Daphnia pulex: one gene and its partner. The main gene of each other region encodes a partner of the protein of the gene in region 2 in a complex. Links are inferred from orthologs where the notes say so. Each region holds a gene or a part of one and is shown on either strand. Other genes may lie near its edges. The genes, in order: ADP-ribosylation factor-like protein 6 and Bardet-Biedl syndrome 7 protein homolog.

What was found.
Region 1: the proteins of Bardet-Biedl syndrome 7 protein homolog (region 2) and ADP-ribosylation factor-like protein 6 are in contact, whole or in part, in a cryo-EM structure (PDB 6VBV), measured with the Bos taurus proteins. The link is inferred for Daphnia pulex from reciprocal best matches to the Homo sapiens genes BBS7 and ARL6. Residues at the interface, in NP_001178275.2 of Bos taurus: Leu3, Ile249, Val250, Gly251, Asp300, Gly301, Tyr302, Asp303, Thr319, Glu320, Pro321, His323, Lys324, Glu325, Ser326, Gly327, Pro328; in NP_001069250.1 of Bos taurus: Met132, Asp133, Arg135, Thr139, Ser140, Val141, Ser144, Trp157, His158, Ile159, Cys160, Ala161, Asp163, Lys166.

Annotation. Positions count from the first base shown.
Region 1 is NC_060026.1:4,129,711-4,133,550, reverse strand, and holds ADP-ribosylation factor-like protein 6, read right to left. Parts: upstream 2,520-3,840; 5' UTR 2,448-2,519; coding exon 2,270-2,447; intron 2,208-2,269; coding exon 1,951-2,207; intron 1,025-1,950; coding exon 890-1,024; 3' UTR 683-889; downstream 1-682. Other genes in the region: rab GDP dissociation inhibitor beta-like, read left to right, coding at 1-183. UniProt on the Homo sapiens protein: Involved in membrane protein trafficking at the base of the ciliary organelle. Mediates recruitment onto plasma membrane of the BBSome complex which would constitute a coat complex required for sorting of specific membrane proteins to the primary cilia.
Region 2 is NC_060022.1:2,276,571-2,280,861, reverse strand, and holds the start of Bardet-Biedl syndrome 7 protein homolog, read left to right. Parts: upstream 1-1,198; 5' UTR 1,199-1,281; coding exon 1,282-1,398; intron 1,399-1,571; coding exon 1,572-1,698; intron 1,699-1,774; coding exon 1,775-1,889; intron 1,890-2,109; coding exon 2,110-2,242; intron 2,243-2,343; coding exon 2,344-2,736; intron 2,737-2,802; coding exon 2,803-2,887; intron 2,888-2,977; coding exon 2,978-3,101; intron 3,102-3,195; coding exon 3,196-3,313; intron 3,314-3,393; coding exon 3,394-3,543; intron 3,544-3,631; coding exon 3,632-4,023; intron 4,024-4,115; coding exon 4,116-4,291.

The DNA of each region.
Region 1 (3,840 bases), on a different chromosome or scaffold from region 2:
ACTGACTTTTACACTCCCAAAGAAGATGGTCGTGATTCGCAAGTTTTCATCTCCAAGTCTTACGACGCCACCACTCATTTTGAAACGACCTGCTTGGACGTTTTGGATGTTTACCGTCGTGGTACTGGTGAAGATTTTGACTTTTCCAAAGTCCGTCACGATCTTGGTGACGAGGAACAGTAGGAAATTTAGCAAAAGACACACTAACCAGATTACAATTCAGGAATGCTAACTAAAATAACAAAGAAAGAAAAAAAGGCATATTCCGTTTTCGTGACTCCCCCATTGAATATGACGTTCAACTCTTTGATAAATAAAAAAAAGTCAATTAGGGGGAAACGTCAAATTTTTTTCTTGTCTTAACCAAGTGCAGAAGATGGAAATTTTTGGTTAATTTTGCTATCTCTGAATATTTGTTCTCCCAAACAAACAAAAAATAATTGTGTGAATTATTATGCCCCCCATTTATCCGATTCTTATTTTTCTGCTCTCCCCCACCTTTTACTTCTGGCATATATGGTACACACACACACTTGCAAACAACAACAACAAAAAAGCTTATTGTTATTACACGTCATTGGCTGTGTTTCGTGATATCTCCAGTCGTATTCCCTTAACTGGCTCTAAAATAATTAATATTCAAAAAATTCAATTTCGGGAGAAGGAAAACAACATTTCAAGCTTCCTCATTATTTTCAATTATACTTTGGGCATTTTCAATAATCACGAGGAAAAAAATATTTTCAATGTGTGAGTGTGCACCTTTTTGCTCTGCTGCTATCAATTTCATATTTTATTTATCGTTTTCTTTTTTTCGAGTGTGTAATTTTTCTCTTTCATTCCATAAAAGAAATACAACACACACACTCTGGAGCTGGAAAAATTATAGTCAAAAATTTAATTTAATAATTTGGTCAGAGAGCCATTCAAGTCCGGCGTGTAGGCCGACACCGGTCAAAGCGTTGGAAGCCTCAAGATGGATGGGGTGTGTGTCAATTTCGTCCAATCCCAGCTCGGCACGAATCTGAAAAATTTGATAAAATAATTCTTAAAATATCATGGCGTTTACTACCTGAGTAATAAGCCGATTAACTGTTTTTTTGTTTTGATTGGGAACAAAATATTTTTTGGTTGGGGTTTTTAAAAAAATGACCTTGCAGTTGACCTTCGTTAAATCTTCGCCATACACCCAAGAGGGTGGTGATGGAAAGGGGGGGCTGCTGACGTTTAGCCAACGCGCAGGGTCAATGAAACTCCCGAGTGCTTTTTTCTTTTGTTATCCAAGATAACAATTTTTCTTTGGTCATTACATTTGTTAATGTACTTATTTATCCAGATCAACAAGTTGGCAACAATCAAACAGGTGTTGGTTATTTAACCCTGCAATCATCGATACGGTTGATTGTTTTAAAAAAAATACCGGTTTATATTTTTTGAAAGCAATTCACGATGACGTATTTTATATACCGTTACCGTTTGTTACATCACGCCAGCCTGAGGGTTTTGGGGGGTGGGGGATCGTTTCATCATACATATCCCTTTTCTTTTTTAGATTGAAATACAACAGCAGATGGTGGGTAGACGAGCCTACGTGCAATCCCGCCAAGCGGCCGATTTCCCTCCCCTCAACCAAAAGATTCGGTGGAAATAGAGCCTCCGGGAACACACACACACACAAAGAAAAAAAAGGGGGGGGGGGGTTGTTTCCCCAACGTTTTTCTTTCGCTTCACGAAAACAACATGGCGGATATTTCCCGAGATGCTTCTGAATTGTCTGGAATATATATGGGGGTGGTGGTAGGGAAACCTTATCACGTGAGAGAGTCAACCATCTTCTACAATTTCCCCATGAACAGAGGGTCTTCCTTCTCTTTTGTGTGACGGAGTAAAAAAAAAAAGTAGGAGGAGAAAATTCCAAAATGTCCGGCGCCATGACCGTTTTTTCTTTACCTGACCGATCGGGATGGCCAGATGCAAGTCGCTCTTGTTGGCTAGAATTAAAATAGGTACACCAGTTGAACGGTTTTTGACCATCTCCGGATGCTGGATCATGAGTAAAAGTTCGTTGGAAGCGACAGCCATCCGCATGGTGTCACTGCTGTCGATCACGAAAATGACGCCGTGACAATCACTGTAATAACGTTCCCATAACGACCGGTATTTTGATTGGCCAGACATGTCAAATGCCGTTAAAGTTAACCCGGCATCTAATTAAATTTTCAAATTAAACTTACAATATTAAAAGATAGAAAAATGTTTTACAATTTACTTTGAAACTTTTCCACTTTGAATCCGATGGTGGGAACAGTCACCTCCGTTCGTTTGCCTCCCGATTGGAAATATTGAACAACAGTCGATTTTCCCGAATTATCTAAACCTACAATTAAAATATTAGCTTCTTTCTTTTTAATTTTCAACCACGTTAAAAAACTATCCCAAAATTTCATCGTAGAACTTGGTTTTCAATGGCCGTCTGAGAGCAAAACCCGCGGGATTTGTTATGAACGGTAACAAGTTGTCATGACAACGGCAGTCCACTCAACAACAACCTTGGAAGCTTCCAATTTATTCCCCCAATTTCCGCGTAAACGTTTTTCCATAGAAGATGACCTTAATGACGCAATGGAAAAACATGATGGTCATTTTCGGGATGGTTCGGAAAAAACATTCCGGTGGGTGGGAACGACCTAGAATGACCTTCTTCCTCTTCAATTCCGTTTCTTGCATCTGGTGATGGTCAAAGAATAATAAAAATAGGAGATGGAAGAAGAAGAAAACTCTTGTCATCCATTTAAAAGCCCCTTTTTATTTTCTGGGAGGAGAACTTTTTGGGAAAAAAAAAGAAATGGGGGGGCAGAGAAAATGTCGGTTGGAAGAACTAGGCTGCGGGAGGGGGGCTGGGTAAAAAAAAAAACCTTTTTTTCTTCTTTACCCCCGGCTCCCGGTCGCCAGAGGGCGGCGGTCAAATTTTCCACAATAAAAAACTAAAACTTAAAAGGGGGGGCCCAAGGATTTTTATATTTGTTTGCTCGGTCGGCAGACAGAACGAAAATTTTCTTAAATAAAAGTAAGGGGATACCAAATTTGTAAATATGAGGGTAACAATTTGGTCGGTACTATTCACGACAAATAATTTTGAACGTCTAATTTAAAAATCGAATTTTTATCTTTTTTCGCATCCAAGATGGCCGACATTTGGCCGCATTATTTTTTTCGGTCAGTCGTCCAGAGGTCAGTGGAGAAAAAGCGCAAGGAGGTAGGGGGGTAGAATAAGAGGGGGGGGGATGCTTTTCGTGAAGCGAAGCCATCCGATATCTGGTCAAAAGGAGGGGGGAAGAAGAAGAAGAAGAGGAGGAGGAAACGGGAATCGGGCGGCCGAGGGGTAGAGGGGGGGCCCCTTTGTGTTGCTGTACCCCCGGAATGGAAGGAAGAAGCGAACGAGGGTAAAAAGTAGAAAGAAAGAAAGAACAGAAAAAAGGGCAAGGGAAAAATAAAAAGGGGGGGTTGGGGGCCCGCCTGCTCTGAAGTGGGTCGACAGAAAATCGGGTGAATCCATAAGCAACAACCGGGCGGCTGTTGAACCAACCGGGAGGGTGGTATAGGAGGGGGGCTCGGATAAAAGTTGACAAGAGGGTGGCGGGGTGGCGGGAAGAGCCAAAAAAAAAAGAGAAGGGAAGGGAAAAAAAGGGAGGGGGCTAACAACCCCGACCCCTTGTGTGTGTGTAAAGCAGCCCCCTCTACAAATCCCTACGAAAAGTCCGAAGCCTAGAACTCACGGTCATTCTGCTTTCGAACGCTCGACGTGTCGTGTTTAATTTTTTTTAACTGACGCGAAAATTT
Region 2 (4,291 bases):
CCCCCTCACTTCGAAATATGATCACCAACGTTGCATCATCACATACTTGGAATATTACAAATGACGATACTTGGAAGCGATAAACTTGTGTGTGTAATTCCCAAATGGATTATCCTACTTGAAATATGGAATAAAGAAATCAATCAATAATAATCCGATTAGAAATGCATGACAGGAGGTTGTTTAGCTTGACGTTTTATTCCAATAACAAGAAAAATCAACCAAGAACAAAAGTTTCTCGTTGTCTCTGTCGTGAAGGCTCCCATCCGAACATCATTTGAAGCATTTCTGAGGAAAAGATCAACATGTGCGCGTATAACTGTATAACCCTTTGTCTCCTATATAAAATAACAGTAACTCTCCACTTGTCTGTTTTCTTTTCGCATCCCCTTCCGTTTATTTCGCGTTTCACTTTTCTCCATCGGTTCGAGTGAAAACTGAAATGGTACACGACTCTCAGTCGAAAGGGAGTCTCTTCCCCGAAGAGCTTTAGAAATATAAAATATGTAATAATAATAAAATCAACAACATGCCGGTGTTTTTGATCTTGTCCTCTCAATTCTCCTTCTATTTTAAATGGACCCGAGTCTCCCATATCCTAACAAAAAGACATGTGCAATGTTCGTTTTTTGTTTCTCTTGAATTTTTTCTTCCTCTTTTTCTTCCCTGTGTTGTGTCTGTGTAAAACAAAGATTGCCAGTGATGTGTAATCCAACGTTCTAAATTCTATACACAAAACCAACCAACCAAACCAAACCAAATGAAATGAAGATGATATATTACTGATGTACATGTGTAGGAAAGCCAATAGTACATATACTCTTGTCAAAGTGTGTGTTTTCTACGAGTGTGTGTGTGTGTGCTATCTACTTGTGTATAGTAAGACTACTCTTATGATTAGAATAAGGGTCGGAGGTGAGTTGTCAGAAGGAACAAGACAAAAGTACACGAGTGTTATTCATCCTGAGTCGGACGTGATTCAATTTCCTCTTTAAATGGTGCACTCGGGCGTGTAGCCACACGATGCTGATCCAAACCGAGATTAAATACGAAATGCTGTCGGATATTATTAGTCCTACTATGTGTGAGTGAGTAAACAGGATTTTTAATGAACTTTTTTTCTGTTTTTGAAAGGAGCGCGTGTTGCTGTCATGGCAACGGTGGTTTGTTTTGTTACCCGGTCTCTGTCGGGGGGTAACATCACATCATCCAGCCATTAGCGTGTAGCCACTGTAGCCTACTCTTAGTTTCTACACGAGTGATTCGTTTACATTCCAACAAATGCAACCTTCAGCTAAATTGAAATTACAGCGAGTCGACTATGTGCAAGTGGCTTCTTTGAAGTGCAGCAATTCTATTCAACTTCTATCAGCCAAAGGGGTCAAACATCAGCAAAAGGTAGGATGTATAGACTCGTGTACACGAGAGCACAGAGCAGACCTTCAATCTGCCATCAAACGTGAAGGCTCCTGATGTGTTTGACTAAAAGTCTTTAAATTTGCCTGCATGTACACTAGAGATAGACTTTTGGCATTTGTGAGAATTCCTTTGTTTTGTTTCACGTGATGCAGGTGGTTGTCGGGGATCAAAGAGGAATACTGCAACTCATATCCATCAAAAAGGGAGAACCTTTTGTAGACTTCAAAGTTGAACTAAAATCCCCAGTCAACTGTGTCACAGTTCATGTCAATAGCAACGGTAAGTCAACATTTGATTGTGTTCTGCACACAATTAACCTTTTAATATCATAGTTTTTTTTTTGTAACGGTTGCAGAACCTACAAAAGAAATGATTATTACAGCTACACAACAAACAGTGCAGGGCTTCTCAGCCAAGGGCAAACTAATTTTCAAAATGGACACAAACTTGGTAGAACCTATTCAACATTTGTAAGATATTCCAAACATTTTATAGCTTTTTCCTTGGTCAAAGTCTGTTTGTTGTTGTTGGACCATCTTTGTAAAGCAGCTTAATGAATAGCAGTTACACATGGTACACACACACATCTAGCTGTAATGTGAGATTCTTCCCCATAGCAGCTGATGTGTCTGTGTGTGTATACATAATAGTAACAAAAAAAGGGGCTCCTACTGTTTTCACAACGCACAGGTGGATGGCCAGCAAGGAGGAGTTGGTCGTCTCAAATTCATACGTCTATAATCATTATCAAGATGGGAAGGAGGCCAATTATTTCCTTTCCACTGATCGCATCAACGCTGTAGCGGTGCTTCCTCTTAACAAGGTATACACACCTTTATTATTGCCAGGTTTCTCGTCCTTCCTTATATAATATAGCTGGTCTTATATTGGATCGATGCGGGCCATCATTCCTATTAAAAACAGGTACCCAGTTTGACTCCGTTGCTGGGATGCCAAGATGGGAACATTTATTCCCTGAGGGACTCGTCTGTACGACACCGACTGCCTATTGACGCTGGTATTCCCACAGCCATTCAACTGTTTCAAAACGATGGAGGCACTAGCGGCGAGTGGGTGATTTACGGAACATCGTTGGGTCAAATTGGACTCGTCCGATGGAGTAGAGCTGGCCCGGCAGTACGGTGGGTTATACAACTCCCTTCACAAACGACCGTGACGTCGTTGGATTTTTACGACGTCAGCGACTCGGACGATGGTGGTCAACTGATAATCGGTAGGGAAGACGGCGTAGTTGAAGTGTACCAAGTACCACCCGAAGATGATGCAGTGCACAGCCCTACCTTAATCTTCTCACAAGTAAAATGCCATTTGACTTCTAAACATAACTTTTGATAGGCCCCGTGTGCTAACCTGATTATTTAGAATTGCAACGACAGTATTGCGGCAGTCCGAGGCGGAATTATCGGCGCAGATGGCTTCCCGGAAATATTAGTAGCTACTCAACGTGGTACGTACATATAAAACTCGACCCGGCGTGTCGTTTGCTCCTTTCTATTTCTTCCTTGTACTCAACAACTTATTGATTATGCTAACGAAGGCTGGATATTCGGTCTAACCAGCTGCGAATCAACAACACGGAGAAAACAACCAGACGAAGTGACAGCGGCCCGAGCCAGCAATGCCCACGGCTCCGAACGTCGAAAGCAGCTGCAATATCTCAAGTCAAATTACTGCACACACCCACTCGTTTCACTTTAGCGGCTCCCCAGTAGCCCTTGACGTTTTCTCTCTCTCTCTCTCTCTCTTTGATCACAGATCCGAAGTGGAGTTTCTAGAAAAGCAATTTACCGAGGCGAAGAATAACAAGTCTCCAGCGTTGCTGCCGGCCAGTTTGGAGAAGACCACGTCGGCGCAGGTCAACGTCAGGGCCAAAGTAAATGTTGATTCTCCTAGCCGTTTCTCTCCTTGAGTCTTCAAAAACCCGACGAAATAACTTATCCACTTAAATATCAGATGAACTTTGTGGGCCAGCAGAATGCCTATTACATTAGCGTCGAGAGTCATGTGTCAATCAACTTTATTCTGGTCCAATGTGACACCAACGTTCAACTCATGGACGTCGAACGCAATTTAGCTATTTTGAGCGTAGTCGACCACGAAAAGGTCTGCATTCTCGGAATAAGTCATTATTTGTCTAGGGAGATTTGATTCTCCGAAATGAGATGATGTTTTTCCCTTTTTTTTTTTTTAGAACGGGCCGTCTCGACTAACGGCAACTTTCCGATGCCAATCCAACACCACGCGACTGGAAATGAAACTCATTTGCGCCGAGAGGAATACCAGCGACCAGGTGCGGTTGTACGTTTCGCCCAGCATCCAGGAGCCACGCTTGGCTTTTTTAAAGTCATTTCGTCTGGGTTGCTTGTGTAACCACGTGCGATGCCATCCGCCGGAATCGTTCCAGTGGAGCGCATCGACGCCCCCCAGCAGTTTGACTTTGCGAGGTGGATTCTCTCAGGCGGATGCCCATAATTGGATCGTGTCCTGCTTACCTAACGTCCCGGAAAAAGTCCCGGCTGATGAGGAAATTCATTTTTATTTCCGTAACGATCAGTGGCAAAGCCAGCTAGACGTCCAGTACAGGTATATATAACTAAGTACTAATACTCTTGATGTACTGGAATGAAATCCGCTTTAACCGAATTGTGGTGAACTTTTTTGATTGGATCATTGAGGCGAGGCGAAATCGTCTTTCTCTCGGATAATGTAGTAGCTTTGTCGCACGTACGTGACTTCATTTCAAGAGAAGCCACAACGAAAAGCATTCAACTAACAATGAACGCCGAAGTGACCTGGGAAGCAACAGAAATCCTCTTGCATCACGTCCACCCTCAACTATTGGATCTGATTC